Caenorhabditis elegans: one gene and its partners. The protein of the gene in region 2 purifies or fractionates together with the protein of the main gene of each other region. This does not show direct contact. Each region holds a gene or a part of one and is shown on either strand. Other genes may lie near its edges. The genes, in order: Y73F8A.32, R03G8.3 and kdp-1.

Region 1 (12,527 bases), on a different chromosome or scaffold from region 2:
GAAAGGTTTTTGTGTCGAGTTACAATTTTCACAGGTACTAGTAGGCACAAAGAAACAAAAATAAAAATTATGGAATTCCGGAAATGTTTTGATAGATTTGGATTCTAGATTTTTTAAAAATATTATAGGTGAGTTTTTGGGACAGGAAAGTAACTTAAAGCCGCGCTAGAAAGGTTTTTGTGTCGAGTTACAATTTTCACAGGTACTAGTAGGCACAAAGAAACAAAAATAAAAATTATGGAATTCCGGAAATGTTTTGATAGATTTGGATTCTAGATTTTTTAAAAATATTATAGGTGAGTTTTTGGGACAGGAAAGTAACTTAAAGCCGCGCTAGAAAGGTTTTTGTGTCGAGTTACAATTTTCACAGGTACTAGTAGGCGCAAAAAAACAAAAATAAAAATTATGGAATTCCGGAAATGTTTTGATAGATTTGGATTCTAGATTTTTTAAAAATATTATAGGTGAGTTTTTGGGACAGGAAAGTAACTTAAAGCCGCGCTAGAAAGGTTTTTGTGTCGAGTTACAATTTTCACAGGTACTAGTAGGCGCAAAAAAACAAAAATAAAAATTATGGAATTCCGGAAGAAGATGAGGGATTTTGACCTGGTCAATCATTCGTCCAAGGGGCGCACTTACTGACCCCCCCCCCCCCTTTTTTCACTCGTTTTTCTCATTTTAACTTGAGCATCGGTTCTCTTTAGTTTTCCTCTGTTTTTCGAACAAATTTTGTCGAATTTTAATGAAATGTTCATAAATAATATGTAAAATAATCGATTATTTCACAAATTTGTCGAAATTTCGGCTTTTATCGTCATGAAAAATCACTTTTCCGTAATAATTATAGAAATTGACGATTTTGCCATTTTTTCAAGCCTTTTTAGAACTTTTTCGAGTCTAATATTCGCACAATTTGATCGATTTAGCAGAAAAAAAAATTATGTTTCATTTCTCCAGTGTCCGTGTTTCTTCTATCTGTTTCCTTTTCTGTCCGTTCGGGTTTCGGCTCTATTTTTCCCAATTTTCTTGTGTTTTTTTATTAATTCTTCTCAATTTATTCAATTTCAGCTGTAAAGAATGACCGATGCGTGGATCGAGGGGCGGCAACGATCAATATGCTCAAGGAGCACTCACCCTTCTCAACTCGCTTCACGCATCGGCAACGGAAGAATTCATTGTTTGATCACTAATGAGGTGATTTTTCAATAAAAAAAAATCTTATTAAATAATTAATTAAATTAAATTCCAGATTTCGAATTCTGTCCGTGAAGAGTTGGAGAACAAATTCGACGAAGTGAATATCGTCGACTTCTTCAACAGCAACGACTCGGAGAATCTCTCGTTGATCGGCCGCCCGGATCTAGTGTGACCTTCACCAAATTCCACTGCTGGCGTCTCACTCAATACTCGAAGGCTGTTTTCTTGGATGCTGACACCATGATCATCAGGAACTGTGATGAACTCTTCGAAAGACCCGACTTCTCTGCCGCCGCCGATATCGGATGGCCGGATATGTTCAATTCGGGAGTTTTCGTGTTCACGCCGTCGCTCACCGTCTATCGTAAGTTTTTTTAAATGAAAAATTGAATTTTATTCCAATTTTTAATTTTCAGGAGCTCTTCTCGCTCTCGCCACCTCGTCCGGCTCATTCGATGATGGAGATCAAGGCCTACTAATCGAGTACTTCTCAAACTGGAATGATCTTTCATCGGCTCACCGGCTCCCGTTCATTTACAACATGACAGCTGGAGAATAAAGAAAAAGCTTAAATTTTATCTTTTTTTAAATTTGCTTAAAAATGTTCTTTAATAAAATTTATTTAATGATCTTCTGTTTTTTTTTAAAGTTTCAAAGAAGATTTGAAAAACAGAACAATACAGAGAAAACGTACAGGGAAAAACCAGAAGAGTCGGTCGGAGTGGAGAGGAGGGTCCTGGCGTCGAATCCATCTTCTTCCCAAGATGAGCTGGAAACCTTCGGGAAATCTGAAATTTTGTAATTGAACTAACACAGGGGAATTTGAAAAACGGAACAGCACAGAGCAAACTTACAGAGAAAACAAAAAAAACGGCAGTTGGTTGGCGGAGAAAGCAGCATCCTGGCGTCGATGATCTGGAAGTGAGAAATAATATTATGGGAACACTAAATTCTGAGAATACGTTTTGCGCAACAAACAAATATCTCGTAGCGAAAACTACAAAAATTCTTTAAATGACTACTGTAGCGTTGGTCCCATTTTGTATTGCTTTTGTAACTTATTGACGATTTTTTGAAGTATCGAAATGGCAAAAACCAACGAAAAATTCAATATCGAAAATAAATTCGTTTCTAAAGTCTAGCCAGTAAATCAACAGCTCTACAGTAATCGTTGAACGAATTGCTGCGGTTTCCGCTACGAGATATTTTTCGCCACAAGATATTTTGCGCGTCAAATATGTTGCGCAGTACGCATTCTCAGAATTTAGTGTTTCCCTAATACAGTAGGAATCGTATTTCCGAAATTATTTTCGAAAGAAAAATTTTTCGATTTTTTTCCGAAAATTTATTTTTTTAAACAGAATATTTATAGATTTTTCCGAAAATTTATTATTTTTACCGAAAATTTATCGATTTTTACCGAAAATTCATCGATTTTTCCGTAAATTTATTATTTTTTGGAAAATTTATTGAGTTTTCCAAAAAATTATTGTTGTTTCAGAAAATGTATCATTTTTTAAAAAGAAATTTTATCGGTTTTGAACGAAAATCTATTATTTTTTATGAAAATTTATCATTGTTTAAAGAAAATGGCTAGCTATATCCTGTGTGACAAATGCGATTACAAGTCAACCCTGCTGAATAACGTCACCAGACATCTCGGTTCGATTCACAATGCAACAGATGAAGACATAAAGGAATTCAAAAAGCAACTTGCTTTGAGCAGGTCCGTGGATCGAAATGGGGGTGTGGCTTGGGAGTGCACCACATGTGGATTGACTCTACCGTCCAAGAATGGATTAGTGACGCATCGAAGAAGAAAGCATCCAAAAGTTACAAATCTCCCCGATGCGCCTGTAGATCCTGCTACAATTTCACTCGAGGATGATATTATCGTTCTGCCACCACCTCCAACGGCGATACAGCCACCCCCAGCAAAGGTACTTTTTTAATGTTATTATGAATATTGTTTTGCCTAACCACAGGTGATTCTTGTCACAAGAGATACCGATTTTTTGGAATAAATTAAATTGATAATTTTGGAATAAAATTTAGTGATTTTTTTTTGGAAAAAAATATATTGATTTTTTTGGAATAAAATATATTGAATTTTTTGGAATAAAATTTTTTGATTTTTTTTGGAATAAAATATATAGATTTTTTTTAGTAATAAAATAATTTTTTTTTGGAATAAAAATTATGGAATTTTTTGGAACAAAAATTATGGTCTTTTTTTTTTGGAACAAAAATTATGGTATTTTTTGGAACTAAAAATTATGGTATTTTTTTTGAAATTTTTTGGAACAAAAATTATGGTTTTTTTTTTGGAACAAAAATTATGGAATTTTAACAGAAGATTTGTGTATCGGCTTCTGAGCACCGTTCTGTGACCTTGCGACAGCAATCCGCCGCCCCACGTAACAAGTCTAAAAACGCTGACGAAAATTCTGCAAAGGGGACCGTTCTATGCCCTGTTGAAGACTGCGGCTCGAATTTTGCAACTCGATTGGAACTGGCTCAGCACTTTTCAGAATTTCATGAGCCCGAATCGGAAGTTGAATATACTAACTTTCAAACTACGGTAGAATTCCAGGTGAACTGTTTTTAATGTAATTTCGAAAAAACAACCCACTGTTCAGAACTGGCTGAGTGTGCGAGAGCGAGATTCTTGCACCAGCTTCCGAGTTCGATCTAGCGAGGACATGTCGAGTCGACTCGCTGTGTATCGTATTTGCCGTCATGAAGGTCACTACAACTCGACTGCCAAGAAGATGCTCGTGGGCCCATCAAGGAAAATGACTGGATCTCATCATTGTCCATCGTTTCTGTCTATATAAAAAAGATGTATTGAGTGGAACTATTCAAGCGGTGGGATATTTCGAGCACTACGGACACGAAAAACGTCCAGGCTTCCGGCTGCTCAATGAGCAAGAAATTTCAAAACTTGTTCGGTACGCTATTTGGTTTAGAATTATTTGAAGATGATTTTTTAAAGGTTCATGAAAGACGGGTTTTCGAATGTTCAAATTATTCGTAAATGTGATAAGGAGTACGATCTGACAAGCCGACTTGCAAATATAGTACCATCTGATTTGAGGTAAGAAAAAAATAAATTATTTTTGAAAAATTGTTTTAGGTACTTGCGAAAAAAGTACAACCTTGCCGAAGGCCGCCTCGATGAAAATGATTTCATTTCTTTGCAAAAAAGAGTGGATAGAAATTGGCCGGAAGATGGCATCAGGTTTTTCTCACCACCAAGAGATGATGGAGCAGGTTTTTTAATGGGTATGTTGCAGGGGTGGGCGGCACTTGCCGGATTTGAAAATTTATGGTAATTTGTCGTTTTGCCGGATTTGAAAATTTATGGTAATTTGCCGTTTTGCCGGATTTGAAAATTTATGGTAATTTGCCGTTTTGCCGGATTTGAAAATTTATGGTAATTTGCCGTTTTGCCGGATTTGAAAATTTATGGTAATTTGTCGTTTTGCCGGATTTGAAAATTTATGGTAATTTGCCGTTTTGCCGGATTTGAAAATTTATGGTAATTTGCCGTTTTGCCGGATTTGAAAATTTATGGTAATTTGCCGTTTTGCCGGATTTGAAAATTTCCGGCAAATCGGCAAATGGACAAAAGGCTGTTTTGCCGAATTTATCGACAAAAGATTAGTATGAAGTAAAAACTCGGTTTTTTATTCCTCCATTTTATTGCAGTTGTTATGACACCTGACCAAAAAGAGCTGTGCGAGAGATACGGGAACGATGGAATCTGTATTGATGACACTCACAACCCATCTAAATACAATCTCAAGCTCACAACAATGCTGGTAGTAAATGGTCATGGTCGTGGAATTCCAGTCGGTAAGTTTTCTAAGTGTACGAAAGAGCTAAGCGCATGGAAGTTTCAGCCTATATGATCTCATCTACAGTAACCCAGGAAGATGTCAAGCAATTATTTGAATGCATTGTTAAAGAAATTCCAGACTTTCATCCACAATACTTCATGTCAGATGAAGCACATGCTTTCTGGAATGGATATAACTGTGTCAGATAGGTTTTAGATTTCAGCTTTAAAGTTTACGTTTTTCAGGTTCTCAAAAATCACAAAACTCAGCGACTCTGGTGCATCTGGCACGTGCAAAGAGCTCTCTTCGAAAATGCTGACAAACTTCTTCCAAAATGCGAGGCTGAGACAGTTAAAGGAACTCTGACATCGATGATGGGAGAGCCTACGAAAGCAAAGTATGAAAATCTTTTGGCTACACTATTGGAACATTTGGAAAATGATTGTGAGAACGGCAAACAATACGCGGATTACTTCAGAAGAAGTCATTTAGGTTTTTTATTTAATTTTCAGTTGAAGTAAATAAAACTTACAGATTATGATAAGTTGTGGGCTGGTTGCTTTCGTCGTGGAGCTCCTTTCCAGACGTCGATGTTCAGCGAAAGTTGGCACGCAGCTCTGAAAGTAATTTTTTAAAGAGATTAAAAACTGATAATATTTTTGGCTTATTTTTCAGAAAGAACACCTGCAACTCCACACGAATATTCGAATTGATGCCTTGTTGAAAGTGTTATATGATGCTTTTGAATGGGTGGTTCGCAAACTTGCTAAGCAGTCAGGACGATGTTTGAAAACCGCTTCAGCCCGTAAAGCGCAAAATTTGCGAAATTGTGCCAAGGCTAAGCTTCAAGCTGAGGATTACATCCTCTCACAAAACGAGAAAGGAGATTTCGAAATTGAGGCTAAAGCTTCTGGAAAAGTTTACACTGTTGAAGACTTACTGGGATGCTCTTGTGCCAAGGACGAGAACTGTCACTGTTCCTGTGGAGCTTGCTGGACACGTTTCCTTTGTACTTGTCCTGGCCAGAAAAGTGGTGTAAGCTGCAAACATGTCCATATGGCAATTGCATCAGGCCATTTGTTAGGTTAGTAATTTTTGATTCCACAAAAATTTAATTCCAAAAAAAATTACTTTTTTTTCCAAAAAAATTCCATATTTTTAATTAAAAAAAATTCCATATTATTAATTCCAAAAAATATCACTATTTTTATTCCAAAATATATCACTATTTTTATTCAAAAAAAATTCCACAATTTTTATTCCAAAAAGTACCACTATATTTATTCCAAAAAAAAATCCATAATTTTAATTTTACAGGGTGGGCCAAAAGTATGGTAACACGTTTGCAGCTCTATAACTTTACTAGTGGAGAGTTATTACATCAATTTGTACAAGTTTTGTTCTCCATAAAATACTGACCAGATGAACGTTTTGAATTTTCAAAATATTCCCATCCGCATCGCTGCAGGCCTTCAGAACTTTTTAGATCACGACCTTTATACACGCAAGTCGGCATTCTGCGGGATTTCTACATTTTTCTCGAGGAATCCATCAAGTGTCTTACAAGTTTTTATAGTTCAAAGAATGCTCTTGGTCTAGAGATTCTTTAAAAACAAAAATCCAAATAATTTCTATCACGGTATTTCTGTCATGGACTGCGGCAGTAGGTTAAGTCTTGAATGGCATAGTCGCCAGAAAGATGGATGTGAGCGGCGAGTAGCAGTATGCAGAAAAATTCATTTTAGTATTTTTCGAGACGTTTTGACCTGACTTTCCAGAATTTTTTCAGAAAATTGAGCTCGGATGATTTTGTGGGTCGTTACGCCTTGCGAAACCAAAAAAACTGAGTAAATTTCGCAAAGTTGAATTCATGAAATATTCAAAGGTTCTTGCTAGGCGCCAGTGTCGACACAGAAAATTTTTATATGCTACAAAAACAATCAAAAACGCTTCTTCACTTCTTTAATTTTAAATTTAACATAAAAATCATACATCTGAAAATTATTGGCGTGCGTGGGAGGTGTGTTTGTGTGGGAAGTGCCGCGTGCCAAATTACCGTTTTTTCGAAAGGGTTCGCCAAATTGTCGAGGTGATAAAGATCGCACCTTATTGGGAAACATTACAAATTTTGAGTCAAATTGAAGGACATTTATTCAGCTATCAGTATTCGATAGAAGAATGTACGTATGACGTGGCAGTCGCGCGAAAAGCTCATGTAAAAGAGCGCTTCATGTGTTACCATACTTTTGGCCCACCCTGTAAAAAAATTTATAATTTTTATTCCAAAAAAAATTCTGTTGCATCTTTATAGGCTCTAATATACATCTACTGTTTTTAGAAAATGAGACCAACACGCCTGCAACTGACCGTGATGATATGGACATGGAGCCATTCCAAAACATCCCTCTTCCAGCTCCACATCAACCATTCAATGCACCTTCGACGATGGGCTTCACGTATGAGGCTGAAAAATTGTACAATGAATTTATGCAGGTTGTAAAACTATGATGGTTTAGTATTTGAAATGTATTTTTTTATAGGAAAATGACGTGTTGTGTAGGAAGATGAGGCAATATAAGAAGTCAAGTAGCGCCGAGTCCCTGGAAACTATGCGAAAAAATCTCGAAATTGTTCGTGAAGCGAACAAGAATACTCCTGGAACCAGCCAGGTCTTAACAGTTCGCCGAGATGCTCATCTTCCATATAGAACAGCAACGCAGACTATGAATCGTATTGTGGTACTTACCAAATTTTGAACTATTAAGTATTTTCTATTAAATTTCAGCGACGCAAAAAGGGAGACAGAAAGCGATCGAATAAACTTCTAGCTTCTTCTTTGCCACCCAAGAAAGACGTGTCTATTTGCAGCAAATGCCACTTTGTAAAATTCAATTCAACCTATGTTTTTAAAATTTTATTTTATTTAGGCGGATCCCGTTCTTGATTCGGATATTCACGAGACAGACTTCGAATCAATCGTCACTGAATGGCTCCGATGCTCTACATGCAAGCTGCCCGTACACTTCGTCTGCTCACATGATGGTTGCCCCAGCTGTGGTGGCACTTTGGAGTCATACTTACCTGACGAAGTGGACACGCAGAACTCATCTTCCGAAGATGACGATCAGGAAGAGGGTGACGAAGAGAATCTGACAATTCGACTCGTTTCATCCCGAGCTGGTTGATTGATATCCTGAAAATAACAGCTATATTAAAAGTAAGGGTAATTTCAATTTTCAAAAATTTTTGTTGTTTTTTTTTGTTGATTTTTTGATTTAATTTGCTAGGTACCGTTTGGTGAGGATTTTATTTCCAAAAATTTGTGTTGTTTTTTTTGTTGGTTTTTTGAAATAATTTGCTAGGTACCGTTTGGTGATGATTTTATTTTCAAAAACGAAACAGATTTTTTCTACTAGATAAAGTGCTTCGAAATTTGGTCAAGTTTAAAAAAGATAGATTTTGAAAAAATAACAACACACTCGTCCATCACGTTTCGACTTGATTCGCTCATACTTTTTGGTTGACCATCTGGAGCCCTATCGAAAAGTGTTTCGATCGAAATAATTTCCTTTTTCGTCTCCTCATCCCAAAACTTCATTTCTCCTTTTGCGATATTTCCAAATCCACAAATCAAAACAATATTTCAAAATGCATTATAGAAAACATAGTTTCGTGGACCTTCAATCGTGTCGAAAATTGGAACTCCTCTCGGATTATAGAATGTTACTTTGGCTGGCATGTAACCATAGCAAATAGCGAATTCTCGGCCGTTGGGTTTCCACTTAGCACCGTAAATTGGGCTTTTTTTCCAAAGCAACAACTACAGACCCTCTTGATTGAATGTTGATAAGGTATAGCTGAAATTAATTAATTATTAGAAAGATGTGAGAAAAATTTAAAACGAACACTTTGCTCTCCATTGATTTGTCTTATCCACTTCAACAGAAGCAAGGCGTTGCCCGATTTGAAGAACGTACGATTGCCGACGACTGGGAACGATTCGGAGACTCGATGAACTCGTACGCGAGTGGATCCAACGGCGGGGACATAGGCATCCACATGATTTGGAGCAGGACCTGGCCTCAACGCGAAGTTAATCGTACTCTTCTCAGCAAGCTTGTGGATGTAACGGTTCCGGGTCGATCAACGCGAGCCTTTCCGAGCCGTTGCTGTTGAAAATGTCGACGGCAGTCACTTTTCTGATCCAACACTTCAGCCACAGAATTCGGAATCTGAAATTTTCAATAATTATTTCCGTGATAAAAAAAATGAATTCTTGCCGATGCGTGAAGCGAGTTGAGAAGGGTGAGTGCTCCTTGAGCATATTGATCGTTGCCGCCCCTCGATCCACGCATCGGTCATTCTTTACAGCTGAAATTGAATAAATTGAGAAGAATTAATAAAAAAACACAAGAAAATTGGGAAACATAGAGCCGAAACCCGAACGGACAGAAAAGGAAACAGATAGAAGAAACACGGACACTGGAGAAATGAAACATAATTTTTTTTTCTGCTAAATCGATCAAATTGTGCGAATATTAGACTCGAAAAAGTTCTAAAAAGGCTTGAAAAAATGGCAAAATCGTCAATTTCTATAATTATTACGGAAAAGTGATTTTTCATGACGATAAAAGCCGAAATTTCGACAAATTTGTGAAATAATCGATTATTTTACATTTTATTTATGAACATTTCATTAAAATTCGACAAAATTTGTTCGAAAAACAGAGGAAAACTAAAGAGAATCGATGCTCAAGTTAAAATGAGAAAAACGAGTGAAAAAAGGGGCGGGGTCAGTAAGTGCGCCCCTTGGACGAATGATTGACCTGGTCAAAATCCCTCATCTTTTCCGGAAGAATTGAACTCATCCCACCCCTCCCACTCCCCGACCGAAGCAGTTACCGACTGATCCAGGGAGGATGAGGGAAGCCTAACTCCTCGGTGTGTGTGACTTTTCCGACCTAGATTTACAATTTAATATCAAAACGGTTCACGGAAATAAGTAATGACTGTTGAAAAACTCAATAAAATCAATAAAATTCAATTTTCAGAAAACCAATAAAATTAAATTTCTCATTTAATGGATCTCTGAATGACTTTTTTTAATTTTTGCTTTTTTTCGAATATTTTCTTACTCTTTGACTGCAATATTAGTTCTAAAACTTGTAAAAAAGTTTTTAAAAAATATAGGCACTTTCATATTTATATGAATATTCGGTACGTTTCCGATTTCTGCCCCCCAAAATGTTTTTTTTTTCAATTTTTCAATTTAAATTCTCACGTGAATGTTTATTTCAAAACTATTTCAATTTTTAGGTTCAGAAAACAACACTACTAACTATAAGCCTGAAATTACAAAAAAAGTTCACGTTTCATTAATGAATATATCCAAAACATTTTGGGGGCAGAAATCGGAAAAGTACTGAATATTCTCCTAATCAGTTTAATCAGTCAATGGTGGAAAGGTTTAGTGCCAATAATGGCAATAATGCCTTATCAAGTTGGTATTCTGTTTGATAACTCGGAATCTATATTAGTATATTAGTTGGTGGACCGCCGAGCTATCAGATGTAGTTCAAGCAAGTAGTTCTTCCACTTTATACGAAGAACCGTGCATCACAATTCGCACACTAAAATATGCAAAATGTTTTGGATTGACACAACGAGTTGGGAAAACATTTTTTTGGATTTTCTCAAAAATCAAAAAACTATTCATGTCTAACATAAAGCGTTCCGAGAATTTAAAATTGTAAAAAATCGAAAATAAAATTCCTGTTTCAAAAACTTCACAAGAATATATTCTCCACTTGAATTGGCTTCGTATCTCATTCCAAAAATTCGGAAAAATTTAAATCATAGAGACCATCACTTCCCCAGTAATCCAAAAAATGAAAACAAAACTTTTAGAAACAGTAAATTTGTTCAAAATTATTATTTCCACAGCATCTAAACAGCCTATAAAATGCATTACATTCTCTTCAATTTGCTCTCCAGAATAATTATTTCTGCAACTTCTTTGAATGGCGACACAGTAATTTTTGGAACACTGATTGTGAGCAAGTTTGCAATTTCTGCATTTTTGGTCACTGGGTCACTGGCCAACAAAAATAAAAACGGAAATTTTTTTTGAAATCTACTGTTTCTAGAAAATTTAAAATTTTCGAGTTACTGGAAAGTTATTAAAGTGATTGTTTTTAAATTTCATAATTATTCTTTTGCCACATGGTTGACGTCAAAGAGCCCGTAATTAAAATATTCCTCCTTTGCTGTCACAACAGAAAAAAATGTTGTAGCAAAAAAAAAGAATTACGGTTTCAAAAAGTTTGTAAAATGCTAATAATAAATTATCATAGTGAGAATTTATATTTATCGGGTGTCAGTTGATATAAGAGAAGAGTAGGATAAGAACAAAATGATACGAGATCGATAGATTTCAAATAAATATACATAGAAATATTAAAATGATTAATTACTCGCAGAACACCCAACTATCAAGCTCGACACCTTCGGCACAATGATCGAGCATCTTTTTGCGGCGGAGCTCCACGTAGCGGTACTTGTCTTGGACCTGGAAATTGATAAAAATTACAAAATTTCAGCCCGGAAGATGTCGGCCGCATCTGAGTGTGCTGCTCCTCACCTTCCGCTTCAGTTCGGCCAAATCATTATCCTCCAAATCGCCTTCCAACATCCCGGACAGCTGCTCGGTCGCCAATTCGAGATCACTTTGATTCGTCTCGAACAGTGTCGTCATATTGTTCGCCTCCAGGTAGTAGGCGAAGGCGTAGGCATATTTCAGCGTACGGCGACACTCGCAAAGCGCATCGACCGCTCGTCGAAGGAATTGAACTTCGATCCATGACATTGAGAGTGCCTGCATTAGGTCCATTTTTACTTCCACTTTCGCGTAGAGCTGAAAAATGTTTGATGAAGCCCGGCAGATGTCGGGTGCTTTGAAAATAACAAACCTTTCCCTCCAACTTCATACTATTCTGATGGGCCATGAATCTATTATAGTAGAAAAGATATCGTTGTAGATTCTTTCTCGATAGCGAACGAGAGTCAGTCTTGTTGTCGTCTTCCACGTATCTGAAATAAAGCAAAATTTGAAAATTATGAAAAAATCTTTTTTGTTTTAAATTCGCGCCAAATCACCAAGTTTACTGGAGCGCACTTGCAATTTTTTTTTTTGTTGATATTTTTAAGCGCTAATTTGGCCTGGTTTTATGCACGCTCAATTTTAAAAAGTACAGACTCAAAATGTGCTGAAATTAACGAATTTTAGGGTGAAACTTCTCGAAAAAATTTCAAAAAACGCCAAATTGCAACCGCCGCACGCTTATTTCGCAATCCTCGCGCGACTTTTTTTCCACGAAAAAAGGCAACATGATGACGGAAAAAACGTGCGAGGCTTGCGAAATAAACGTGCGGCGGATGCGATTTGGCTCCGCCCACCTTTTAAAAATTCCCAATTTTACCTAAAATCTC
Region 2 (10,926 bases):
ATCAACTAAAAAGTTGTTGATATTGTTGCAAAGAACAAGTTTGTAGTTGAAAGTTTTTTACCAAAAAATTTCTGTTTGAGATAAAAGCGCGTGAAGTGCGGCTACTGTTGCTGTTATTTTTATGCTGTTATTGCTTTTCTAATGCTTTTAACTCAAACAAAAAATTTTTGGTAAAAAACTTTCAACTACAAACTTGTTCTTTACAACAATATAAACATCTTTTTAGTTGATGACTTTTCTGTAAAAAATTTATCCGCGGAGATACGAGCTACCAAAGTAAAATTGGAAAATTGCTTCGTTAGATCGTTAAAGTTCTGCCTTACAGTGCTATTTTAGGAGCTTTGAAAGCCCGCCGTGAGCTTGGTTCTGGAGTTTTGCCGGTAACAATTTACAAGTAACCGTTTTAAAACATGGGTTATCGAATGGCATAGGTCTCATATGCAAGTCCGATGGGCACCTTCTGACGGTTTCCTAGTAAGACTGCATCGCGAATTTGCGATCGTTCATTCACAACTGAATACATATTTGATATACATAAAACAGTTTGAGGAATTTTGCAATAAAAAACAAATTATGTAAACTGTCCCTTACATGGAATTTTTATCATTTTCCTAGACTAACCCAACACATATGCTACGCGATATATTAAACCAGCCGAGGACTACGGCGCGGCCCCCGACCTTTTTGAGAGACGCGAAAGACATGCAGTGTCTATCGCGGACCTCGATCAATGTCGGCTGCACATTTACCATAAAGCCCGGGAACTTCCAGTTGTTTCGAAATTAAAGGTAAACTACATAGGGACAGACATTAGCGCTTTATATACAGGGTGGTCCATAATTATGGCGACCTGCTACGCGCTCGCAAGAACTTGATTTCTGGGGTTACCATGTTACGAAAGTTTTAAAATGTGATTATTTTTAGAAGTTCACAGTATTTTCTGTCATTTAAGTCAATTACCATACAACTTCCTTCAACTTTAAAGGTAGTGAGGACCTTACAACATCGGGAATGATTTTTCTCTATTTTAGAGGAGGTCTAGCGCCCGACGTCTCCTACTGCGCTCATGGGATCAAGTAATTAGTTTCTATGTTTTAAATAATTATCAAGACTTCGTACACTCAAAATAGCAAAACCCGAGCCGATAGACATATTTTGTGCCAACTTATGTTTGGATTTACGTAGCCATTCGCCCTTTCAAAACAGTGCAAACAGTCCGTTGTAAAAAGATTTGCCCAAAAATTCTGTTTTCTGTGAAATATATCAAAATATTGAAAACCAAATTGTCATTTTAAGTTAAGACAAATTTCAACTGAACACATTCGCATTTTCAACATGAAGATCGTTGGCTGGTAAGGAAAAAAATTCGCAAAACTTGGGGGAGCTTACTTTTCTTGACTTTACTAACTTTCACAAGATGCCACTTCCGTCACCGGACATCAAACTCGAAAATTATTCGTGAAAAGCTTTGTTGTATCAAGGGTATTCCTAATATATAATCAAAATAATAAATCACTCAATGTATCTCATTTAAAAATCACCACTAACAAGTAAGCTAAATCGAGCCTACTTGCGCGCCACTGCCGTGTGGAGTGGTCATAAATGTCAAGTTTTATATGTCATTTTGCTCGATTTTTTCTAACCAATAAAATGTGTATATTCACTTGTTTTGCTCGCTGTCCAAAACAAAATTACAGTGCCCTAAAGTGGTCGCCATAATTATGGACCACCCTGTATAGTTAATGATATTAGTTCCAATTTTTTGAGGCATATGTTTTGTGTTTGGTTTTTTCGATATAAAACTTTTTTCCTAATTAAAAACATTTATACTCAAGATAACTAAATAGTGTTTCAAATTTAGAAATACATTTCTTATAATGTTATTTTGTTTTAGAGGTATTCCGTCAATTCTCTTCGTCGAACGCTTCATGATGTTTTTCGTTATTCACGAGACGGATTGACTCCGTTTCACAATGCCTTTATCATTGCATATGTTCTTGTATTTGGAGAAAATGAAATTCTCCGTCACGAATCTGTGTTGTACCTTGTGGACGCAGTTTACAATACTAATAACAAAAGTATTGTAAATAGTAAGGACATCGAAACAGTAAAGGTTGGTTTTGATTTTTTGTTGATTGACGATGAAAATAATTTTTAGGGACTTGTAAATCAAATCGAAAATTTTGAGTTGTTTCCAAAATGTGTACAGTCTCAAACATTTTCGAGTTGTTATCAAAAAAGAATTCCACAAAATATAAATTTGCGCGCAATCATGCAATTGAAACTGAGTCAAAACACAATGGATCTGATTGTGGCATGGGCTGAAAATGGAGTGAATGAAGAAGCGAAATTGGGACCAAAATTGATGCTTGGGTGTAGCACTAAAGAAAACCTCAAAAAGTGAGATAATCCGACATATTTCAATTCATTATTATACTTAATTTTCAGAATTTCTGGGAAGCTGGGTGGAAAACAAATGAAATGCAATCTCTGAGCTTGGAATAAAAAACTTTTGACAGATGAATATATAGTCTCAATCTTATCATGTTTTATGAATAAAATGTCAAAATCTGAAAAACCTTTATAAAATGCATAGGGTAACAATTGAATTTTTTAATGAAATTCTTGTAAATCATGTTTTGATTATAAAAAATATTCATTTGAAGTATTTGAAGATAACAATCGGTCTTACCCGTATTTCATCAATTATACAAAAGTATATTTATGTAACGTTTTCCAACAATCAATTACAAAAAATTAAATTGATAATGAGAAAGAAAGTATTAAATTCATTAATAATATTTCATAATTATACATACAATCTCTAGCGATTTACCCGAAACCTATAAAACTTTCAAACCCTAGTGCACACAAAATTCAAAAATTTATCAAACCTGCATAGTTTATCTCCCTTTTTTCAATTCTAATTTGCTTTGATTCTTGCAATAACAGTATGGCCGATGATGCTCTGATCCTATGCAGTATGCAGTGCTTCCATATTTGTTACTCCTCTCTACCATTCCTAACACTTTAACTTCTCCGTTTTCGAGAATTTTCACATTTGCCTGAAAGTTTGATGTCAGAGTTTGAAAAAATTCAGTAAATCGATACCTTATAAACTGCTTTACTTGGTTTTGTCATTTCAACGACCGCCGTGTATAACATGGAACCTTTAAACTTTTGGTCAAACTGCAAAAGTGAGACAACCTGGAAAATGAAAAATTCCCAGAAAATGTCTTCAGGTCGTTTTTTTTTACTAACGTGATCAACTTTCATTTTAACACATTTGTCCGTGAATTTGCCTTCTTCAATTTCATTATTCACAGCTAGAGCCACAGCTTCGCCAACCCCCTTAGCTGTTTCACTTTTTCTATAATTTTCAGCATTTGAATGGTGTTATTAAACTCAAAAACTTACGTGGAAACTTGTGTTTTATTGAACTGACAAATGCAATATTGCATAGGAATTGGCATGTTTCGGCAGTTTCTCAAAATATCCGGCTGTGTCCGGATATACGAATATCCTTTCTCGCCGGGAATTATCAGAGGGTCGAGGTCGGTGAAGTTGCTTGCAGATTGATACTGAACAACAATAATCGTTGAGATTTATGTATTTTATATTTTGCAAGGCAGTAAAAAAGGGTTTTAATAAACGTTTTCCACCAAAAAATGACACCAAAAACTTATTTTTTCATTTACTTAAAACATTTTACAATAAAGTTCCAAATTTAAATACTCACTTTCAGAATATCCAGCATAGTTGCTCGTGTATCAAAGTGAGTTTGAATTTTTTGGGCATTCTCTCTCATCACGTTCAATAAGCCTGTTGTTTGACGTAGATTCTTTGGGATTGAAACTGCCAAAAATGGGTTGCTCACATCCAATGTTCCGACAAATGTTTTTCTAACGTTACCAAATCGAAGGCCATGATCTCCCATGAAAAACACAAATGAGTTGTCAAGCTGAAATATTATATGTTTAGATTTCTGTCAAAGTTTGTCTATTTTAAATCGACATACCTGCTCTCTGTGTTTTATCAAAAATTTGTGAAAATCCTTATCAGAGTGTGGAAATCCATTTTCGGAGTCGTGACCCAAAATAGATGCCCAAATCCAACGAAACTTATTTTGATCAGGATATGCGTTAATGAACTGGGAAAGATAGTCGAGAAGCGTGTGATGATCTTCACGGCAATATTTTTGATTTTTCAAATGGCTCTTGGTAAGTGGTTCTCCGTGATTTGCACGTTCCAATGCATTTTGGAAAGGTCTGAAATATGGAAGACTGCAGCATCAAACTACAATTCAAGTGATCATTATTTAGTGGAAAATTTATAAAATATGCATCTATGGCGCTGAAAGGATCAGTGAAATTTTCTATATAATTGTTGAAAATTATTTTAATTCATAAATAAAAGGTAGCAATTACTCACAATCAGTTTTCTCAAATTATTATTTCGGAACTCGATCAAAAATGTTTTTTCACATACAAGTGCTATCCAAGTCTTCTCTACATTTCTCAAAAACTGAAACCCCCCAAAGCTTTAACTGGAATGTTTGAAAAATCAGGAAAACTTCACAATGCCGTACTACGTTTTTCAAACGCATTTTATGTCTATTCAGACAAAAGTATTCCTGGTTCTACTACATATTCTATTTACCTCATAAGGTGGTCAATTGGTGGTTTATCAAAACCTTTACAGTTTGGCCAGTTGAGTGTTCCTTCCGCCCAGTCTTCCGCCATCAAAGTCTGTTTACAGAAGTGTTGGTGAGCATACAATGACTTGTCAAACTGACCTTGTATCCATAGTTTTGATATTCTTTAAAAAGTGATGTTTCGTTGTCCTTATAAACGTGGCACATATAGGCATGCGACCAGTCAACTGGAACGTTTTCCTCTTCAAATAAAGAGCGATCCAACTTTTCTAAGGATTTGCCTGGAAATTGAAAGATACTTTAATTTTAAAAAGAGTAAAAACATGTATGCTTAGAAACATTTTTGAATATTTTAGAACTTTGTGAAATTGCGAACAAATTTTGGAATGTTCTGTAACAGGCATCATAGTTAATAATAACAACTCACCGAACCACAAAGCAGCTCCATTAGGTCGACTGTTGTCACCAACTTTGTTGATATAGGGAAAAAGAACTGCATCCATATGGTTTGTCATATAAGAAATTGTTCGTAGAAGTGATCTGAATTTTTACCTTTCTGTGCGTATGCATTTTTTCACCTACCTCTTTGCTTGAGTAAATGATAAAGAATCCAGCATAATCACTGTGACGTCATAGTTTTTCAGCTCGCTCACTTTGACTGTAGGTTGTTTTGGTGGTCTGAAATGAGCACATTGAAACCAGTTCACAAAGTTTCAAAAATCTCACGTTGCAATCACTTGAGTGTGCAAAAACCCGTAGACATCTTTCTTGCCGTCTGCACAAACTGCTTCAACAACTTCGCAATTGATAGGCCCCGGTGTATACGTCCAGTTGCCTATTACGTTGTATCTCTCACTTTTTCTTGTATGGCATCTGAATCTCTTTTTAAAAAGTTGAAAAGTTTTTATATAAATTACCTTGCTCTGCATATTAACTTTGTTTTTTTATTAACAACACCCCAACTGCCGTTATTTAAAAACGTCAGAGGCTCGCGAGATTTGTTGCAGTTTGAAATGGGATTTACTTCCATGTTAAGATACTGAAACAACATCAATATTAATATCTTAGTACTTCTGAACAGTTAACTTACTGGTAATATCTCATCATCCCAGATATCATACTGTGGGAGTTCACATTGATCCCAGGGTTCCACTTCCGATTTATTCATTACCACTTTACTGGGGATGTTTCCAGAAATTGGTTGATATAAACCAAGATATTGCTGAGGAGATAGAAGTGGAGAAAACATGGTGAAACCCAGCAACACCAGATACATGGCAAAGCATCCTGTCACAAGAAGTGCTTTCCATGGAACGTACTCCATTTTTGACAAATGACGCCACATAATGTTTTTCGTTTCCTTAAATTATTCTCATCAAAAGTGGTCAGAAGCATGGGGCGGAAGAAAACATAGAAAAAATATGACGTTGGTTTTTGGTGTTTCAAAAGGAGAACAGTGTTTAATTTGAAATTTTCATCTCATATTTTCAACTCACCAACTCAAAACTTAATTCTGGAAAAAGGAACTTGTACTTTTTGATTAATTTAAAATACGAACATCAGTTTTAAATCTGACAGGGTATGAATGAGTGGGGAAAACAAATAATTTAAACATTAATGTTCTCTGTGATAAGGCTCTATTTGCAAACACTTCATGACTATCCAAATCATCTTGTGAATTGATTCTTAATAAAGAAAATACTTCAAAGTTTATATCATCATTTAGACGTATGGGTGAAAAAAAAACGGTAATCCTGCATTAAAGAACTTGAAGTGTTTAATGTAAACGTCATCTTATCAAAAGATTGTAAATTGTAGTGGGAGCATTTAATCTTTTTATGTAACGAAATATCATAATGAAACGTCGCTGAAACATTTGAGTAATATTTTATGGCGGTTTGACAATTCTTTTTTTTTTTATCTTGAAATGGTTTGTGAGTGGTTCAACGCAAACCTTGATTAATGTCGGGCGCAGATTTTATTAAAAGACCGTTCAAAAATTCGTAAACACCCGGAGTTGAAAACTAAAAATTTATATAACAATAAATGTAGAGGCGGAATACATAAATCTATGGAGTTTTCTTTGGAATTGAATATGTTTCGAATTCGAACTTGCATTTCGATTTTTATCAGTTAATTTTCCAGCTATCCAAATCATACTTCTGTTTGGCAATTTAGTTACTCATCGCTCCTGTCTTATCAAAGGATTAATTTTGATTTATTGAACTCATACATGTACTGTCGAGTGGAATTAATTTTAAACAAATGTAGAAAACTATCAATTTTTTATTTTTGAAGTTAAGAACTTTGTCACCTCATTAACTATACAAAAGTGATATCCATCAAGTTTTTGTTGCTCAGAATTTTTAACGTCAAATAAACTACAAAGGGGACATGCAGTATTATAAAAAAACCAAAATAGGAAATATCAATTGAAATTTTTAAAGACCACACTTCAAAAATTATATCTTTTTTCATCAGCTAGAGTTTATTTGAAACTTCCTAGGCGTGGTTATGAGTTTTATATTCTTATCATTATTGCCGGTGCTCCTTTTCTAACTATGAAATCATATTTATGCCAGGGTGGGGTTCAACTAACTACTAACAGAACTTGTGCATAGATTCTTTTACTTCTAATATCAGTAGAAAACATTGTGTCAATATTATCAAAAATTATAAAAATGCTAACTACAAAATACGGAGAACTAAAAAAAAAAGAAAGTGAGGCAATGGCGATTGTTTGGCATCAAAAAAAATTCAAAGTTATTCATTTGCAATAAAACTTGACAATAGCATTTAAATAAACAAAACTGAGTTAGAATCATATTGATCTTTAAAAAAAGACAATTTTAAATATTCGAATGAAAAGGTGTAAAAGTTTTGAAAATGTATTTCTTGCGAACTCAAAAGTCTTTTTTAAAACTAAACTTACCTGAAACATTTCAATGGCGTCAACACAAACCTCAAACCTCACAGGTCTTTTGTATAAAATCTTCAAAACTGATAACCCAGTCTGCGGTTTATTTGCATCAAAATAGCTTTCCGGACAATGAAAGTTGGGCAAATCAAGTGTTCAAGAAAGAGAAATCAAATGTACACCTTATTTCTTAAAGTTTATAGCATGCACATTAAGAAAATTTTTTAGTTTTTTTTTGTCGAAATATGAATTTGTTAATCATTGAGATGTTTCGATTGCAAATTCAGGAACTTATATCTTGAAATTATCAGAGAACTTTAAAAATGCAAATTGCATGGATTATGATTTTTTTGAATAAAAAATATATGGGGGGGGGGGGGGGGAAATTCTCAAGAATGTAATTACGAAGGCACGACAGAAAGCACAACAAAATTATTCGGATCTTTAAAGGTGCAGTAGCGCCAGTGGAAAATTATAAAAACCATTTCTTTTGTACCAAAACGAGAAAAAAAAACTTTTGAAAAAGTTACTGAGCTAAAAATTGTGGTTTGCACGTCTCCATTCACACAAATACAGAACACATTCAAAATGCTCTTTTGATCTCATTCCTCATTTTTGTGCTCTGCCAGTTTTTTTTTAAGTATTTGCTCTTCTTATATGTAAATGACGTCAAGCTAAAATAGGAATAAGTATGTTTGTGGGTGTGTTTTGTTGGATAGTTCATAAATACCAATGAAAACGAAAAATGAAATTGTGTTTTGATTTTCTGATATACGGACAGGCAGTAGAGAATAAGGCACTTTAACTCTTGCTATCTTATTAATGATGTTGCTGGCGAGGTTGTAAACCACGGAAAGATAAAAACTAAACAGAACAAATGCATATAATTGAAACTATTGATTTATCAAATTTTAAAGTGGAAAAGTTAGACTCAAACGCAAAATTTTCTAACTCAATATTCTAGTTCTTATCGAGAAAGTGTTGGATGTGGTTAATAATAATTCCAATCGAGTCTTTGCCTCTGGAATGAACCACTGAAACATTAAATATCTTGTTTTGTCTGAACTATGAACGATACTAATCAAACTACAATAATTATTTATTTATTTATTCATCATGGAAACAAAAAGAATATGATAAGAAAAACATAACCGGTTATGATATTTACACGTGTAGATGAATAAATTAAAATAAACTCGGCCCGACAGAGCGCGAGTTTAAGTGAGAGGAAAAGAGATCAGAATTTAGATATTTGACAATCAACAAGCGAAAGGAATTGTGATGGGGAGAGGAAAAAGCTAGAGTTGCGTACAATGCTATTCCATATTGGTACTACTTGGGAGAAAAAGCTACGACATTTGGGATTTTTAATTTTAATGAGCATCGGACGACGAGACGAGTTAGCAAGCGTAACAAAGTTACTGCTTTTTGGGAAGTGCGCTGCGCCGGTAAGAATTTTGTATAGAAGCAATAGTTGGGCTCTTAGGCGGAGAGAGCGGGCTGATGAAATTCCTAGAATTTTTAGTCGGTTTTCGTAGGATTTGGAGAAAGCATTGTGTGTTTGTGGAGCATTTTTTATTTTGTATTTAATATTGCAGCGCTGTAGGACCCGTTTAGAAAAGTAAAGTAATTAATGGTACATTCTAATTTTCTTTGGTTTTTTGTAAAATTGGACCTACCTTTATAAACATGTACTGATCAGAATTTGGAAAGCACAATATACCAGGGAAAATTCGCAATAATACTTCTGCACGCCGCAAAAAACATTTTTTCGAACATATAACTTTAGAAACTTTATTCAAGCCTTTTACAAGTGATTTTAAATACACTTTTAATACAACCTTTCTTCAAATTTTCCCCTCAGGTTTATTTCAACTAATTTTTTTAAGAGAAATTATTGCTTTCAGAACTATTAATTAACAAATAACTCAAAATTCAATCTAGTCCAAGAACATTGTTTAGGTTGTTCTTTACAGTAACAGATTGGCCGATGTGTTTCCGATTCTATGCAATCAGCAGTTTTTCCATAGGAATCGACACGTTCGACTTTGCTCACAATCTTGATATTTCCTTCAGTGATTTTCACAGTTGCCTGGAAAATGAATGATAACGAAATTACTCGAATTAATGAAATACTTTAAATTTAGCTTCACTTGGTTTTTTCATCTGAGCGATGACTGTGTATATGGTAGAATTTCCCAGTTTCTGGTTGTATTGCAGCAGAGATTCCGTCTGTAACGTTTTGTTTTCCTAGTTGTTTCATAGGAGTAAATCTTACCCTTTCAAACACCATAGAGATACATTCAGAGGTGAAATTGTTAATTTGTAGAAGTTTATTTACATTCTCAGCTACTTTTTCACCGATTTCCATGGAAATGGTAGAATTTCTGAGATAGTAATACAAAACAAGTTTGCGAAATTTCACTCACATAGGTACTGAAGTTTTATTGAATTGACAAATGCAATATTCGAAAGGTATAGGCATAGTTTGACAATTGCGGTTGAAAGGTGGTTGGTTTCTAAGATGCGATTGTCCTTTCTCACCAGGAATTTGTAATGGAGTTATGGCAGAAAACTTTTCAGCGGGTTGGAACTGAAAATCCTTATTTGTATTTTCTTTAATTTGTTTTTTCTTAAGCCAAAACTCGCCTTCAAAATGTCTAATATAGTTGCCCTTGTATCAAAATGGGTTTGAAGTTTTTCAGAATTCATATTCAAAATCTTCAAAATATCAGTGTTGGTTCGTAATGAGTTTGGTACAGAAATCGCTGTCAATGGGTTATTGACATCGATGGCTCCGACTGCTGTATTTCTCACTCCACCGAGTCTGAATCCATGATCCCCAAGGAGTAACACAAAGGAATCTTCTAACTGCAATGTTTATTATGTGATTGATCCATTTTCGACGTTTTGAGAGTGAAAAATAATTTACGCAGTCATTTTAACAAAATCAAAAAAAAAACAACTCATGTGGTCACCGTGCCTTTTGATTTGAACCTGAGATGTACACTCAAAATATATAAACTGTGTTGCGTGTACGCCCAAACGGGACCACCTATTTTCAAAAAATCAGAGAAAAAACGCAAAAATCGGGACCCCAACCAATATCAGGCCGCCGACATTTTATGGATTCTGCACGCCACTGTATTTAACTTGCAGTGGGCGTGACGAGCTGTCCCTTCCGCTTCAAAGAAAATATAGTGGGCCGCGGAACTCGGTTGATGTCTGAGGCTGATATTGGTAGGGGTCCCGATTTTTTTGCCTCCGTAATTTTCCGAAAAAGGCGAAAAAGGCGCCTGTTTGGACGCATGATATGCTGTTTTATTATTTTGAGTAAACGACAGGTCAAAGAGAG
Region 3 (7,763 bases), on a different chromosome or scaffold from region 2:
TCTTTTTTTTTGGTTTTCGAGCAAAAAAAAACTACAAGTGATTTAGAAAAAAAACTCAGATTTTTGTTTACTGAATTTCGCACTAAGCAATTTTTCTTTCTTTCCAATTTTATTAAATCTGTTCCCAAATTTGATTACTGTAAAAATCCATACTTTCCAACAGACACAATCCGATCACAATTCTGTTGAAATCTAGCGCCAGCGTCGAAAATCTCCGAGGAAAGTTGCACAAATTGCTCTTTTTGATTATCTTTCAAATGTACTCCACTTTGTTCAAAATCATCAAGCAACAGGGTGAGAGTTCGTTTATCAACATCATCCAGTCTTGAAGATTCAGTGATTTCTGATGATTTAAGCTTCTGATATAGTGCTGTATTTGTGTTCAGGCTTTCAACGAGCTCACAGAAATTTCTGGAAACATCTTCGGCCGCATTTCTGAACTCGGGCTCACTGTGCAGTTGACGAACACATTCAGCCTGAAAATATGAAAATATCAGTAACCGTAGAGCCTAAAATTTTCAAAATTGTCTGAAATTCAGAAAAACCACAAAAAAACGAGATTCGCGTCTGCACGTGGTGCCAAGCTGTCCCATTACGGTTTGATCTAAAAAAGGAATTTTTCGCCCAAAAAATTGTGACGTCAGCACGTTCTTAACCATGCGAAATCAGTTGAGAACTCTGCGTCTCTTTTCCCGCATTTTTTGTAGATCTACGTAGATCAAACCGAAATAAGACACTCTTATACATCACGTGATTCGCCGAGGCACCACCGAAAGGAGAACAGGTGAAAAAGGAGAAAAACGAGAAGGAGAACACAAAACCACGCCCATTTTTCGTGCGGTGCGCAAGTTTTTTCAGAAACTTCTGCGAATTTTCATTTTCAAACGAAACAACGAAACTCCGAAATAACGCATTCACGATAAACAACACGCGATACGTTATTTCGGAGCTTCGTTGTTTCGTTTGAAAATGAAAATTCGCAGAAGTTTCTGCAAAAACTTGCGCACCGCACTGAAAAATGGGCGTGGTTTTGTGTTTCGTAATTCTCCTTTTCGTTTTTCTCCTTTTTCACCTGTTATCCTTTCGGTGGTGCCTCGATTCGCCCCGCCTTCTCTCGAACCAATCAGGAGAGATGGGCGTGGTCGAAGTCGCTGATTGGTTGGAAGTTCAAACAGTTAGAAAGTAGCCGAAAATATGAATTTTTCGGTTTTTCTAGATTTTTAAATTGTGGTTTTTCTGAATTTCAGACAAAAAAAAGCAAAATTCTTGTTTGAATTCCCATGAAAATAAGAACTACAGAGACTTTTTTGGTTTTTTTTTAGTATTTTGTAAGATTGATTTTTCTAGACCAAAAAAGCCAAAAAATTCACTTTTTTACGGTTTTAGGACCAATCAGAGACTCGCTCCGCCCACTTGTCGACCAATCAGAAGAAGTGGGCGTGGTGTCTAATTTTGGAGGAAATTCAAACTGGAAATTTCGCCAAAATTTAAAAATCGCATTTTTTGAAGTTTTTTTTCTTCTGTTTTTCCATTTGCTCTCCTTTTGTGAGACACCACGTTTTCAAGATCTAGTCGGAAACAAGATCTACGAAAATAAGATCTACGAAACGAAGATCTACGTTTTCAGGATCTGGCACCATGCCAACTGCGGTTTTCACAGTTTTCTCGAAGAAAATCGAAAAAACGATGCTCCGATATTACACGGCTCGCGTTGTTTATCGTTCAGAAAAGCTTTTTTTGAAATAAAAACTTTTGGAAAACGATAAACAACGCGCGATGCGTGATATCGGAGCATCGTTGTTTCGATTTTCTTCGAGAAAACTGTGAAAACCGCAGTTGGCATGGTGCCAGATCCTGATAGCGTAGCTCTCGTTTTCGTAGAACTCCAAACTGTAGATCTTGCTTTCGTAGACATTGTTTCCGACTAGATATTGAAAACGTGGTGCCTCAAAAATCGCGTTTTTTTTTGTGGTTCTTCTGAATTTGGGAACTTTTTTCGAAGCGAAGCTTACAAGATCCGCCGATTTGCAAATCTCATTCGAAATATCATCGACAATTTGAATAGAAGTTCTGGGATTCTGCGATGGGGTTAGAAGCTCCTGAAAATTTGAATTTTACAGGATTTCAATTGGATTTCAGAGCTCTCCTAAATACCTGAATAAGAGCATCAGTTGATTTTTTAACTGCCGCCGGTAATTCATTGAAACTTTCTGCGGTTTTCAAGTTTTTATTTCCAAATAATCCCTGAAGTTTTAAATTTAAAAAAATCCATTTTCTTGAAAAAAAAAACCGTTTCTTTGTCGACCTTCTCGCTTCGAAATGCTCTAGCCACCCAGCTATTCCGGCTTATCGTTCGACTATGCCGTAATATCACACTTCGAAGCATTTAGTGCTGTAGAAAAAATCACTATAGTCTAAACTAAACTGGATTCTATTGATATAAGGAACGTTTAACCTTTTTTTAATATCGAGAATCGGAGATCAGACATTATATTTCAGATAAATGGGGATGAAAAACACGTAAAGTGGTGTAAAAATTTGAGAAACAATGAAATAAATAAGAAAAAGTGGCATTTTTACAGTGAATTTTTAACAAAAAAAGGATATTTATGAAGCTTGACTCGACTCGTCCGACTCGTTGTGTGCTGTTGCAGATGGTCTTGGAACGTCTGGAATATAGTTGCTTCCCATATTTTCCTCTTGACCTGACAATTCCATTTCGTCCGTGGCGGCTTGCATACCAGAATTCCGACCGAGGAAGTTCATTGCTGAAATCAACATTTTTAATGTTTTCCAGAAGATTTTGAAATGAGGACGCACAAAAATGCTTATTTTTGAAAAAAAAATCGTTCCACGACCAATTGAATCGGCTAAATCGTAAATTTAGAATTTTCCTTCAGGTATTTTTTGTCTTTTTTTTTTGTGCTTTTTAATTAAATTTTAATAGTTGATAAAAAATGTTAAACCTCGTATCTGATGTCAAAACTTCTGAAAAATCCGCTTTCAAAAAATTTCCCCAAGAAGGTGAATTTTTCTGCGTCTTCATAATAATTCAGAATTTCCAAATCTACCTCTTGGCGGAACACGTCGTCTTCTCGATCCAGCTGGAGAATCAGCAGCATGAATTTTTCTCCGTGGTCCACTCATATCGTTCTCCAAATCTTCATCATCAAAATAATCGTCATCCTGGAACAAACATTCCTAAAGGATTTAGAAATATTCTAAATGCATTAACTTACATCTGCCTGCTGCGGACGACCGAGATGTTGTGATTTGAATCGAACCGGATGAGCCCAACGGCTTGTCGATTTTCCATGGAATCCATCGTCGGCGAGAAGATCGGCTCTTTGAGCTGACAACTTGTTCCACACATTTTGCATATTTCCGAGAAGAGTTGTCAATCTTGGCATCAGAGAGAATACGGTCATTGTTTTCTCTTCCTTTTCGAAACTATCAGTGAACTCAGCAGCATATCGATCAATGGTTTTGAGCTTTTGAGCAAGCAAGTTAGCTTCCTTCAAAATTTCAAAATTCGGTTGAAGTGTTCCGTCTTGCACTTTTTCGAGATAGGCAACGATTAGCTGAAAATTATTTTTTTGTAAAAAAAATTAAAGGCGGAGTAGTCGAAATTGTTTTATTGCTTTATTAGACTCAAAATTGTCTGAAAACACCGAATTTCATAATGAAACTTCTTGAAAATTTCTCAATAAAAAGTTATGACGGCTCAAAAAATGGCCTAAAATTAGTTAAAATTTGAAATTTGACCGTCTTGCAATGTTGCAGCGGCTGGAAACAATTTTTTTTTTTGAAAGCACCGTCAAATTTTGAGCATACAATGTCATTATCTTGCGTTTTTAACTCGATTTGGGTACTTTAAAGTCGATGGACGGCGAGATTTCGTAAAAAAAAAATTAAAAATATCGCCGTCCATCGGCTTTAAAATACATAAATGAAGTTGAAAACGCAAGATATTTAAATTTTATACTCAAAATTAGATGGAGATTTCAAAAAATTAGTTTCCAGCCGCTTGACAAGTCGGTCAAATTTCAAATTTTAACTACATTTAGGCTATTTTTTGAGCCGTCATAACTTTTTTTTGAGACGTTTTCAAGAAGTTTCATTATGAAATTCGGTGTTTTCAGTCAATTGTGAGTCTAATAAAGCAGTAAAACTATTTCGACTATTCCACTTTAGTTTGCTGCTGTATTGATTTTCATAACGAGATTTCTCAAAATAATATTAATAAACTTTTTAAGTATGTCAAAATTTCAAAAAAAAATAAGAGCCAAAACTGTCTAAATTCTGAAATTTCGCAAACTTTTCATGTCGCAGCAGCTGTTGTTACATATTTTAGTCGTTTAGCTCGCAATTACTAGTAAATGGAGGTACTTTTTTCAAACATTTTTTCCAAAATTAGGTGTCAATCGACTGAAAATGTGTCTTAAATCAACGAATTAATGCGAGATAAGATCGAAATATGCATTTTAGCGAATTTTAGGTATTATTTTAAAATTTTTGAACCGCTAAACAGCATTTTCAGAAGTCTCATTATGAAATTTTGTCTTTTTCTGGCCTCCAATTTCTCGAACGCACATCAACCCGATTCTGAAGCATGCTCATTGCTGCATCTTGAGCCTCCGCGTGTTTCTTTCCAACTGATTTCCCGTCTTTTCCATGTTTCGTTGATAACTTAGCGATATGATTAACACCGACACGTTCACTTTCTTCCGACACTAAAATCCATTCAATTGGCTTATGCTTCTCCTGATCAGTCACGTCTGCTTCAAACGCGAAAAGTGGAAGTTTACGAGTGGTTCCAGCAGTGATAGAGTTGAGTTTAAGGAAAAGTGTCGCGTCGATTTGTCCGGCTTTCTCTGAATTGCGAACCGCATTGGTGAGTTTTGAGAGAAGAGGTTTCTCTTCGGGAGTCAGATTATCATCCTCCCCAGCACAATAAAGACCGATAACTTGGAGCTCGGGAAACACTTCCAGATCTGAAATTTGGGGAAAAAAAACTAAAATGAGCAAGAACAGAGTAAAACTGACATTGATCTGCTCTTTGAAGGAGATGCTCCGTGCTAAAAGTAACCGGCTCAGCCATTTCTTCTGTCTCCATTTTCAGAACAAATGAATTGATCGCCTCGACTTGTCGTCCATTCTGCCGTCCGAGAATTGCTCCGAACACTTTTTTCACAGTAGGACCCTGTTGGACCTTTGTTCTGGAGTAGTGTTCGGACATTTGCATAATAACCAAAGGATGCAAAAGCACCTTCGAGCTACAGCTCCCGCTTGGTGCGTTCAATGCCATTTCTGAAAATTATTTCGAAATTTGGTTTCGAAATCGGTTTTTTTGTTTCAAGCCAGATAATGATTTGGAAATTTTGAAAATATTCCTGGATTCACTGGTGGAAAAACAAGCTAAACGGGAATTTTATTGATTCACATTGACATAAGTTTTACAGAACATAAAACTTCCTACAAAAAAGAGATAATGCAATCGAGTGGAAATTATTTAGGATCCTGGAGCCTTGACGTGGCTAAGTGGTGGAAGTGGAGTTCCGTTGACCAACGAGATGAGGTTGTAGATGGCGATGACAAAGCAGATGTAGGAAAGGACCTTGGCGATCTTGCTGACAGCGACATCGAATGGTCCAGCCTCTTCGGACTTCTTTCCTTCGAGAAGAGCATTGGCGTAGGTATCAACTCTTTTCTTGAGGATTGGATCGTAGAGTCCGTACTTTCCCATGACAAGGTTTCCGCATTTGGTTCCCTCTGGCAGACGTGGAAGGATCTTTCCTCCGGCTCCGAGTTGCCACTCTCCTGGGTTCAGTGGATCGAATTGTTCGAGGGTTGGTGGGGTCTTTCCGGCGTTGGTTGGAACAGCCTGGAAGCTGGCGGTTCTCATGGAAAAGCGAGCGACGCCCAAAGTCTTTCTCAAAGCCAACGACATGATTTTCCTGAAAAATGTGTTTTAAAATGTGGAGAAAGAAATAAAGAATAAAAAAATGAAATTAAGATAAGAAAAGTGAAACGAACACTTTTTATGAACATAACAAATATAATTTGTTAAAAAGAATGAAAAGCTTTATTTATAAACAAGTATTTACAGTGGCCATGGGCACCACTAATAAAATGGAAGAGGACTGGCGTGATAAGCTCGTTTTCCACATTCCAGAACTGCATCAAACAAACGGAAAAGTCCAGTATCTCTTGGTCGCTCTAAACCTCTACGCATTCTTCTCCTCATCACAGCAACCATTTCTTCATGTGATAATTTTCCATCCAAATTGTCATCGAACAAAGTAATCACCACATCCACAACGTGATCCGATAGAGGTATTCCAGTCACTTTGACCGCAACTCGTTGAAGTAGCTTCGCATCTATCGACATTCCAGCCATTTTATGAAAGTGTAGAGCAATATCTACATCGTCAATGTGATACAAAAACTCGAAAAATGCTTTCGTCTCTCCAAAACTGATTCCTTTCAAATTTTCTCCTTTAAATCTTCGTTTAACCCGCTTCAACATATGCTTCTGTTTCTTCTCATTAATTTGAGCATGAAGAAGGAGAAGTTGAGCAAAACTATCTTCGTTGATAAGTCCATCCGGGTTATCCAGTGCATCTCTCCGTTCAAATTCCATCTTTAAAATGTCGTGTTGTAGACGCTCTTGAAACTCGATAAATTTTTCAGACGACAAGCTCCCCTTTCCGTCTTTTCCAAAGAAATATGTTTCGAGAGCGGAGTTTGTCTCGACACGGAACGACTGGTTTGGCGTTATATGATCTCGATGACGCTGTCCTACAGTTGTTTGGGACATAATAAGCTGTTGAACTTTTGTGAATTCTTCTTTATCCAGCGCACCGTTCCCATCTACATCGAAGATTTTGAATGCGAGAGCGAAATCCGCGTGAGAGGCTGGAAAAGTCAATGATATTTTGAAAGAAAAACGAGTATTAAAACTCACTTGAGAGCAGAGTCATGAGAAACAGATAATCACTGAAGTTTATGAGACCGTTCTCGCCGAGCTTGTAAAAAATACTGTCAGGGTCGGAGAACTTGTGACGTTTATGCTTCTCAGGATTATAGTTTTTAAAACTATCAAGCCCCCAACGTCTCGGCTGCATCACACCCGGAGTGAAAGAACGGAGAAAATCCTCAGGAGTCATGAAAACTTCAAAGCGTCCACTGTCTTCGTTAGGATCGATGATCTGAAAAATACAACTAATAAATAGATTTTTGTCAAAGTGACTCACTTTCAGGGTCGCAAAGTATCTGAAAATCTTATCCGGAGTGGAATAAAGCCTCAATCTGTCTTCATATTCTATGATTCTTCGCTCTCTGAATCCCAGTTTCTTCTTCTTTGGCTTTTCTTTGACTTCCTCTACTTCACCATTGCTTTCAGTGACTTCCTGAAGACCGCAAATTAGAAAAATTGCAGGAGTGATAGAAAAATAAACACGTGAGAGGTTGTAAACCTAAGAAGCTTGTGAGAAAAATTAACAGAATAACTGAAACTGACTATTTTTATCTTGAAATCACAACACACAAGCTGGTATTAGGTGAACTAGCAGGAGCAGCTCACTTCTTTTTGTGATGCTTCTGGACGGAACGGCAACGATGCGCTCTTGATCTGATCCTTGAGCCTGAAAAAGCGGTGAAATACGAAAAACAAATCGACGCAGGAGAGCACGAACCATTCGAAATCACTCATCAGGATAACCATTCCAGCGATCACCAAGGCATAATTCCAATGGTACAGC

Evidence for each region.
Region 1: the proteins of R03G8.3 (region 2) and Y73F8A.32 fractionate together in Caenorhabditis elegans (co-fractionation; one large-scale study listed by BioGRID). This does not show direct contact.
Region 3: the proteins of R03G8.3 (region 2) and kdp-1 fractionate together in Caenorhabditis elegans (co-fractionation; one large-scale study listed by BioGRID). This does not show direct contact.

What each region holds. Positions count from the first base shown.
Region 1 is NC_003282.8:15,512,709-15,525,235, forward strand, and holds Y73F8A.32 (uncharacterized protein), read right to left. Parts: upstream 8,735-12,527; 5' UTR 8,519-8,734; intron 8,233-8,518; 5' UTR 8,227-8,232; coding exon of another isoform or gene 7,967-8,226; intron 7,921-7,966; coding exon of another isoform or gene 7,825-7,920; intron 7,778-7,824; coding exon of another isoform or gene 7,580-7,777; intron 7,533-7,579; coding exon of another isoform or gene 7,378-7,532; intron 6,124-7,377; coding exon of another isoform or gene 5,715-6,123; intron 5,663-5,714; coding exon of another isoform or gene 5,574-5,662; 5' UTR 5,572-5,573; intron 5,532-5,571; coding exon of another isoform or gene 5,285-5,531; intron 5,240-5,284; coding exon of another isoform or gene 5,103-5,239; intron 5,056-5,102; coding exon of another isoform or gene 4,909-5,055; intron 4,483-4,908; coding exon of another isoform or gene 4,334-4,482; intron 4,295-4,333; coding exon of another isoform or gene 4,193-4,294; intron 4,149-4,192; coding exon of another isoform or gene 3,837-4,148; 5' UTR 3,830-3,836; intron 3,791-3,829; coding exon of another isoform or gene 3,551-3,790; intron 3,138-3,550; coding exon of another isoform or gene 2,787-3,137; intron 2,113-2,786; 5' UTR 2,098-2,112; coding exon 2,052-2,097; intron 1,986-2,051; coding exon 1,849-1,985; 3' UTR 1,798-1,848; downstream 1-1,797. Other genes in the region: ari-1.4 (RBR-type E3 ubiquitin transferase), read right to left, coding at 11,509-11,607, 11,680-11,952, 12,008-12,128.
Region 2 is NC_003284.9:13,086,204-13,097,129, reverse strand, and holds R03G8.3 (uncharacterized protein), read right to left. Parts: upstream 6,166-10,926; 5' UTR 6,151-6,165; intron 6,015-6,150; 5' UTR 6,000-6,014; coding exon 5,745-5,999; intron 5,694-5,744; coding exon 5,572-5,693; intron 5,528-5,571; coding exon 5,381-5,527; intron 5,333-5,380; coding exon 5,237-5,332; intron 5,195-5,236; coding exon 5,082-5,194; intron 4,936-5,081; coding exon 4,796-4,935; intron 4,749-4,795; coding exon 4,660-4,748; intron 4,269-4,659; coding exon 4,019-4,268; intron 3,962-4,018; coding exon 3,740-3,961; intron 3,582-3,739; coding exon 3,418-3,581; intron 3,371-3,417; coding exon 3,262-3,370; intron 3,208-3,261; coding exon 3,112-3,207; intron 3,066-3,111; coding exon 2,904-3,065; 3' UTR 2,714-2,903; downstream 1-2,713. Other genes in the region: R03G8.6 (Aminopeptidase), read left to right, coding at 1,895-2,113, 2,159-2,400, 2,449-2,494; R03G8.1 (alkaline phosphatase family protein), read right to left, coding at 9,484-9,663, 9,708-9,803, 9,850-9,958, 10,001-10,164, 10,221-10,442.
Region 3 is NC_003282.8:13,298,375-13,306,137, reverse strand, and holds kdp-1 (KASH (Klarsicht/ANC-1/Syne Homology) Domain Protein), read right to left. Parts: upstream 5,951-7,763; coding exon 5,513-5,950; downstream 1-5,512. Other genes in the region: Y67H2A.7 (Peptidase M3A/M3B catalytic domain-containing protein), read right to left, coding at 154-476, 2,013-2,099, 2,155-2,244, 2,291-2,386; csn-6 (COP9 signalosome complex subunit 6), read right to left, coding at 2,608-2,768, 3,072-3,201, 3,240-3,581, 4,594-4,994, 5,047-5,308; micu-1 (Calcium uptake protein 1 homolog, mitochondrial), read right to left, coding at 6,125-6,918, 6,968-7,211, 7,257-7,412, 7,586-7,646, 7,698-7,763.